2 linked regions of the Callithrix jacchus genome follow. The protein of the gene in region 1 interacts with the protein of each later gene in a biochemical or structural test. Links are inferred from orthologs where the notes say so. Each region holds a gene or a part of one and is shown on either strand. Other genes may lie near its edges.

Region 1 (3,808 bases):
CAGAGCTCTCCAGATGAAAGCTACTCTTGTCTGCATGTTCCTTTCCCGCTGGGATCCTGAGCCACAGCACCTGTCCTAGAGGATGGAGTGTCTTGAGGGTGTTGCGAGGAGCTTGTGTTTTCCACTTGCTTGCAGCTCATGGCAGAGAAATTGCAGCTGCAGGAGCAGCTCCAGGCAGAAACCGAGCTGTGTGCTGAGGCTGAGGAGCTCCGGGCCCGCCTGACTGCCAAGAAGCAGGAGCTAGAAGAGATCTGCCACGACCTGGAGGCCAGGGTGGAGGAGGAGGAGGAGCGCTGCCAGCACCTGCAGGCGGAGAAGAAGAAGATGCAGCAGAACATCCAGGTGCCCGCCTGCTGTGCCCAGGGAGGGGCAGGGCCTGAGGGGCAGGGCGGGGCAGAGGAGCAGGGACCAGAACCTTGGGAGAACATGGAATCAGGGTCGTCCGAGGAGGCCAGCTCCTCACGCTGTCTGCTTGGGGCACTCAGTGAGGGGTGTTCTCTTTGGGTTGGTGGTCTGTGACGTGTGCCTCTAAAATCTCCATGAGCACTGCCTGGGCCAGCATTGAGGCAGATTTGATCTCCCTGCCATCAGCCCTGGCCCTGGCTAGCCAGAATCGTGCAGGACCAGCAACTCCACCTCCTCCCTGTTCCGTGGGTGGGAGCTTGCCCCAGGAAACCCTCCAGAACATGGCACCAGGGTTCTGGCCCCTTGTCCCAGTTTGACATCTGGAATCCTGCACATACGGCTTGGGCCCCGCCTCAGCTGTGGCCCTGGGCTCATGGATCTTGCCGTTCCCCATCTCAGCCATGGCCCTGGGCTCACAGATCTGGCCATCCTCACCTTGGTGTGGCCCTGACCGTCGGACCTTGCTGCTTTTGCCTTGGCCATGCCCTTGGGCTTGCTGTCCTCACCGTGTCTCTGGCCCTGGCAGGAGCTCGAGGAGCAGCTGGAGGAGGAGGAGAGCGCCCGGCAGAAGCTGCAGCTGGAGAAGGTGACCACCGAGGCGAAGCTGAAAAAGCTGGAGGAGGAGCAGATCATCATGGAGGACCAGAACTGCAAGCTGGCCAAGGTGAGGCCTGTGGCCGCGACCTGCTGCCATTCCACAGGGCCTGTGGGTGGGAGAGTGTGGTCGCCCTACAGGGCTCTAGCCCCCCACTGCTGCTTCCTGTCTCTTCTGCCTGCAGCATGGGGGCTTCTGCTCAGCTGCAGGTGCTCCCTGGAGGTCCCATGGGCCTTAGTGGAGAGATTTTTCTCATAAATTGAAGGGGCCCTGGGAAAGGGTTTGTCCTTTCCCCTCTGGAAAGCTCTTTGCCAGCTGTGAGACCCGAGCCTCTGTACAGGTGGCCATGTGTGCAGCATTGCAGGTGTTGGTCACTGTGGGGTTGGGGGCACCTTGAGATGTGGGGTACTCCTCCTCCGCTGTCTCTGGATGGCAGCTGTTCCTCCTGAGAGCGAGTTGTGTCCCTGTTAGTGTCTACCCGGGGAGTAGATGGCAGTCGAGGAACGAGTTAGAGGAGAAAGCAGGAGAAGGCAGCCTCCCCACCTTTTGGGGCTCCTGTGTTCTCACCAAAGGGTTGGAAGGCTGAGGTGGCAGGATGCCCACCTGGGACTGGGACGAGGGGACTGAGATGCTTGTGCTAAGTTGTGGCACCTGGGCAGGGGTGTTGCGGGGGCCACACAGGGCAGAAAGCAACGAGAGCAGCCCGGGGCACTGTGGGGCTAAGGAACAGGGAGGCCATGGTGGGTTAGTGGGGCATGGAGAAGATGGCCTGGCCTGGTGGCACAGGTGAGCGCCGTGTGGCAGCCTCTTGAAGGCATGGAGCCATCTGTCCCTGCTGATACTAGCTGTCCCCTAGAAGCCTTTCTCACCCAAGCCCATGGGGTCAGGGGAAGGGCCTGGGCACCCACATTTTCTGTTTCTGAGGAAACATACCTTGCTGTTGCAGGAGAGCTGGTGACCTTTCAAAGTCACCCTTTGATCCAGGAAATCCTAATGAATTTGATCAGGTGTCTATAGCCCTCTCCATTCAGCCCAGAATTTCCTGGCGAGTCATGCTTTGAGGAGAGCCAAAGTGTTCTGTGCTCTACCGATACTAAACGCTGACTTACCTCTCTTTCACCAGGAAAAGAAACTGCTGGAAGACAGAATAGCTGAGTTTACCACCAACCTCATGGAAGAGGAAGAGAAATCTAAGAGCCTTGCCAAGCTCAAGAACAAGCATGAGGCAATGATCACTGACTTAGAAGGTGAGGGAGGTGACGGGCAGGGGGCTGGTGGGCAGGGGCTGGCCTATGACCAGAACACTGAGGCATCCTCAGCTCACAGGTGAGCCTGGACCACACTGCAGCACTGGCTGCTGCCCTTCAGACCCGAGGTCAGCAGGTCGAGGGGAGCTGTGTCTGGTGCCGGCGGGAGCCTGGGCTTCCAGGCCCCTGTTGCTCTGTGGCTAGATGCTCCCCAGCTTCAAACGTGTTAGGAGGAGAGCCTTGGTGTTCCCCTGTTGTCGTGCACCGTGGGTTTCAGGAGCTTCTGAGGCTTCCAAGGTGGCTCTGGTTTTGGCCTAGAGGACTCACTAGCTCTGTCACTGATGAGCTGGTTCAGCTTACACCTTTTACTTAAGTTCCATGAGCTTTAGTTTTACCTAAAAAAGGGGACACAGTGCTAGGGTGTCTGTGAGGATTTCATTAAATACATGTGAACACGTGTACCATAAAGTGCTAGACAGATACTACAGGAACTCACTGCTTAACTTGCGGCAGGGTGACAAATCCTGCCTCATCTCTCTGTGCCCTGGGGATCTGTGGCAGGAACGGGGGACTGGGGTAGAAGCACAGGTCTGTGGTTGTCTGAGGACCCCCGCCTCTGCCTCTTGAGAGGAGTGGACAGCTGGGGAAATAGGAGAACCCAGACTACGGTGGGAACTCTGAGCTCACACCCGGGAGAGGGAGGCCAAAACCCGACCCCTGGGAGGATTTTCCCCAGCTTGGGTTTACCACCCTGTCCGGCCCCATCACATCTGCAGGAGATGAGGTGAGTTAGGTCATCCAGTGGAAGAGAGGTCCAGACACAGAGAGATCTCTTCCCCCACAGATGCCCTCCCTCACATGGGAGCGGCCTGGAAGACTCAGTCATCCAGGAGGTCTAGGGGTGGTGCCCACCAGATGGACAGACATGAAAGGTTGACACTGATAAGCACTAACACAGATACGGAGCTGTCACAGCGCACACAGGCTGCTGCTGGAACTGCAAACTGGTAGACAACTTCAGAGGGTGATCGGGCAGTCCTAGCGAGGTTGAAGCTGGGCATGCTGGTTCCGTCCATCACTCTGTCGTGTGCGCTGAGAGTGAGCAGGGCACTCGCAGCAGCATTATCAGAGCGTGCGGTGAACACAGTCCATGCCTGTCAGCTGCAGGACGGGTACATAAATAAGTTGTGATGTGTGCCCATCATGGAATGGTAGGCAAATGTCCATACAAATCTATTCCAGCGAAACTTCACAGGCTAAATCTCAAGATTGTGAGATGGGGCGGCAGAGGCCCGTCAGGGAATAACCATTGTCGACCTGTTGTCGGTGTTTTTTAAGATGTGACTCACTGGCGCCTCACAACACAGCCTAATGAAGTAGGTCATCGAAGAGGTATTGACATCACAGAGTTATAAAGCTAGACATTGAGCCCTGACTCTGCAGTTCCAACTGTGGAATTCACACAAGGCAGTTCCATTACATAAGTTCCGATGCACACAATATTGAACATAGTTTTTAAAGATACAGACATGGTACAGCCTTCAAGGAAAAAGGGAATTAT
Region 2 (3,908 bases), on another chromosome or scaffold:
ATCTGAACAGCAGCAGCAGGGGGTGCTGACAACCCAGCTCTGGGCCAGAGAGCTGTGTGTCCAGGTGGAAAAACACAATTAAAATCGGCAGAAACAGATCGTCTGAGCAAGACACAGCTGTGTACGTGGAGACCTTCACAACAGCATGGTTTGTAATAGCAAAAGCAAGGCAGGAAGTACAGATTCAGTAGCAAACAAATAGTGGTCTGGCCACGTCGCAATACCCCGCGGCCATTTCAAGTGATGTTTGCCAAGGCTGTAGCCAGAGAGTCACCTCGTCCGACTGTGCCGGGCGCTGGGCAGGGCCTGGAGCAGATAGAGCCACAAGGCCGGCCCAGCCCTACCCGCAGGCAGACATTGTTCTCTGACTCCAGCTTTGCTGGGCTTCAGCAAAGGGCTGAGATGAGCACCAGGGCCTCCCCCAGGTAATTGTAATGTAACACACGTTTGAGGATCCCAGCTTAGACATTGCTTCTCCAAATGTGTTCCCAGGACACCTGCACCTGCCCCTCCCCACACCCCAGTGTCTTGAATCAAAGTCCTGGGTTCAGTTCTAAAACTTCGATCATTTTCAGAGCACCCTGAGCCCCGAGCCGGAGTCCCCAGCCTGGGGCTGGGGTGTTCAATGACCATCAGAGTTTGAGAAGGGATGTTGTAAGTTAAGTTCAAAAAGAAATTAAATTGCATCTAAATCCCACTCACATGGGGAAAGGCTGAAAGGGAGGGAAGCGTCTGTGATCCAGGAGGGATTTCTTCCCTCCGTACTTACCTATTTTTACATTTTCTACCACAAACAGAACTTTATTTTTAAAAGATATCTTTACAGCATTTACATTTAGAAAATGCTAGGCCAGGCATCGGGGCTCATGCCTATAATCACAGCACTTTGAGATGCAAAGGCGGACGGATTGCTTGAGCCCAGGAGTTTGAGACCAGCCTGGGCAACATGATGAGATCTTGTCTCTAGAAAAAAATACAAAAATTAACCAGGCATGGTGACATGCACCTGTAGTCCCAGCTGCTCGGGAGGCTGAGGTGGGAGGATCACCTGAGGCCAGGAGGGTCAAGTCTGCAGCACGCCGTGATCCTGCCAGTGCACTGCAGCCTGGGTGACAGAGTGATACCTCATCTCAAAAAAACATCCAGTGCTCTGAAGCGCTTTGTGTCTTTGAAGCTCTCCTTTTTGATGATCAGCATGCATGTGGGTCGGCCTCTGAGAGGGCAGATAGGCAGAGCCTGCTGGGGCCCGAAGGAGAGGGAAAGGAAGGAAGACAGTGGGGGAGTGAGAAAGAAGTAGAGGATGGAGGTCAAAGAGAAGAGGGAGAGACGGAGAGGGGAGGGCCTCTGTTTGGCCTGGTTGGAGGCTGCCCCAGGCGTCGAAGGAAGCTGGTCCCAGCCTCCCTGAGGGGCCTTCTGTGAGGCTCAGGCCAGTGGCTCCTCCCTGGCAGGGAGCCCAAGGGAGGCCCCCAGCTCTGTGCAGACAGGTGCCAGGATGGAGCCTCCTCCTGTCCTTCGTGCCGCTCCCACTAATACCAGGCAACAAGGGGCCTGGGAATGGGAACAGGGAAGGCGGGCAAGTGGGAGGTGGGGCTGGGGCGTTTATGGCCAGCAGCCTCGGAGGACTCGGCCTCGGGGACAGTCCTGGATTGCATTCCTTCCCCACCCCCACCACAGGTTTGAGTCCTACTCTCCCACCAGGGCTGTCACTAATCCACTAAGGTCAACTCCATCTTTCAAGGATGAAGCTGACCACACCCTCTCCTTGCTCAGATGCTCCAGTGTCCCCCGCCTTGATGCCAAGGTGGGTTGGTTCCTTGGCTGGGCATCAAGGGTCCTTCAGGATCTGCCCCCCTTGCCGTTGACCCCACTGCAGCTGTCTGCCCTCTGCCTGCAATGCCTTCCCCTTCCCCCCAGCCCCTCCTGAGTCCCCAGCTGCCCGCCTGGGCTTACCTGCAGGAAGCCCGGGAGCTCCTTCTCCATCAGCGCCTTGAGCTCCACCTTGGTCAGGGTCTGCGTGCTGCCCTCGCTGCTCGAATAGCGGGAAAATACGTCTATGATCATGCCCATGGCTGTCTCCAGTTCCGTCATGGTGCCGGGTTCAGACCCACCTTCCTCCCGGGGGCTGGCAGGGCTGAGAAATGTCCCCCTGGCGGCCTCTTGGTGCTTTATAAGGCGGCCTCATATTGACACAGAGGGTGGGACAGCGGGGCTGGAACATTCAGGCAGTCCTGCCCCTCTGCATGCGTGTGCTCGGTTCTGATGAAATGCATCGCTGTGTTGCCCTTTCTGGAACCTTTCCCCCAGCCATGGCCCAGGGTGTGGGCCGCCTCTGGCATTTTACAGTGCTCCCGTGTCTTGGGGCCATCAGTGAGTCACAGTGGCCCTCCCTGGGTAAGTGGGCACAGGGTGAATGTGTGTGGAGTGAGTGGTGACCCTGTGTCCCTGTGTGTTGGTATCAGAGGCTGCTGGCACTCAGCCTGCAGACGGGAGGAGATGTCTGAGTGAATTCCTGCTGGGCATGTGTGTGAACACATTTCTGCTCCCGCCGCCCTTTCTCGGAACACCCTGTGTCCTTCAGCGGTGCAGCTTCCCCCTCAGTCTCACTCGCTCCTCCCCTGTGGAGCCGAACAGAAAGCTCCCCTTCATCCTCTGGGAGCTGGCTGAAAATCAGTGGGCAGAAGGCAGATTCAGAGAAAAGCACCAGAGACGTATCTGATCGTAGCTGATGTGGCACGGCAGCCTTCAGGATGAAGACCCAGGGATCTGGGGGAAACTGTCCATGGTTACGAACATAAACACAGCATGGAAATATGATCGCACAGGAAAGTCAGGTGGACACGCACAGACCAGGAGGAGAGCCCGGCCCGGCCTGTCGGGACAGATTCCTCTGCGCCTCTGAGCAGCTTTCTTTCCTTCTAGGTGTGGCCAGGACCCTCTCTGGAATTGAGGTCTTGTGACCTGCAGTCAGATAAAGCAGCCCAGAGTGTTTCTTTGTGGTTCGTTTCTGTGCAGAAAGGGAAGGGGGTGGAGAACTGGAGTTGTAGTTCTGGGTTTTATGGCTGGGTTTGGGGACAAGGGGTTCTGATTGTGACCCATCTTGGGGAAGCCTCTCAGGGGAGGAGGGGCTGGAGAAAGTTTTGCTTCTGAGGCATCCACGTTGGGGTGCTGTTTTTGAGCCTCAGCACTTACCAAACCAGAGCAGCCACAGGGCTTAGACGCACAAAGGCTCCCGTGACCTCTCTCAGGTCTCAGGCTCGTTGGAATCCCTCCTTATCTCTATAGCAAAGGCACTCAGAGGGTCTGTGCCTCTGGGAAGCTGAGAGAGCCCTGGAGAGCATGGAGGTGGGGGCCTGTGTTCACATCCTGCCCCAGTCAAAGCAGACCCACGCTCACAGGCTCTCTCTCGGTAGTGATCTTCCAGAACGTCAGCCTCCAGCAAGTGCCTAACCTCTCCCGACACAGCCTCCACCAGCTCATGGGCTGCACTGGGAGAGCCCCCGCCGGCTGTGGCTCAACACAGATGGGAGCCACCGGTCTTACAAGAGCTGGCTTTCTCAGGACACATTGCCTCTGTCCAGGTGTCCTGAAGTGGAGGCTCAGCCTGGCCACACTGGTAACCCTTTGGGAGCAGGGACAGATCTGTTCTGCTCACGCCTGAGCTGGGCAGTTCCCTCTTGGGATAAGGTTGCACAGGACAGACCATCGTTCTACCCACTCCGCCAGAGGAGTGGGGAAGAGAAGGAGGCTCCCTGCCTCAGAGGTAGTGCTCCTCAGGTGGGGCATACACTGTGTTTTATAAATATATATATATATATTTGAAATGAAGTCTTGCTCTGTTGCCCAGGCTGGAGTGCAGTGGCATGACCTTGGCTCATTGCAACTTCTGCCTCCCAGGTTCAAGCAATTCT

What was found.
Region 2: the proteins of MYH9 (region 1) and S100P interact in a biophysical measurement, tested with the Homo sapiens proteins (2 studies listed by IntAct). The link is inferred for Callithrix jacchus from reciprocal best matches to the Homo sapiens genes MYH9 and S100P.

Annotation. Positions count from the first base shown.
Region 1 is NC_133502.1:207,240,144-207,243,951, reverse strand, and holds part of MYH9 (myosin-9), read left to right. Parts: intron 1-135; coding exon 136-342; intron 343-931; coding exon 932-1,069; intron 1,070-2,123; coding exon 2,124-2,247; exon of another isoform or gene 2,248-2,642; intron 2,643-3,201; exon of another isoform or gene 3,202-3,808. UniProt on the Homo sapiens protein: Cellular myosin that appears to play a role in cytokinesis, cell shape, and specialized functions such as secretion and capping. Required for cortical actin clearance prior to oocyte exocytosis. Promotes cell motility in conjunction with S100A4.
Region 2 is NC_133504.1:186,929,544-186,933,451, reverse strand, and holds the start of S100P (protein S100-P), read right to left. Parts: upstream 2,143-3,908; 5' UTR 2,089-2,142; coding exon 1,951-2,088; intron 1-1,950.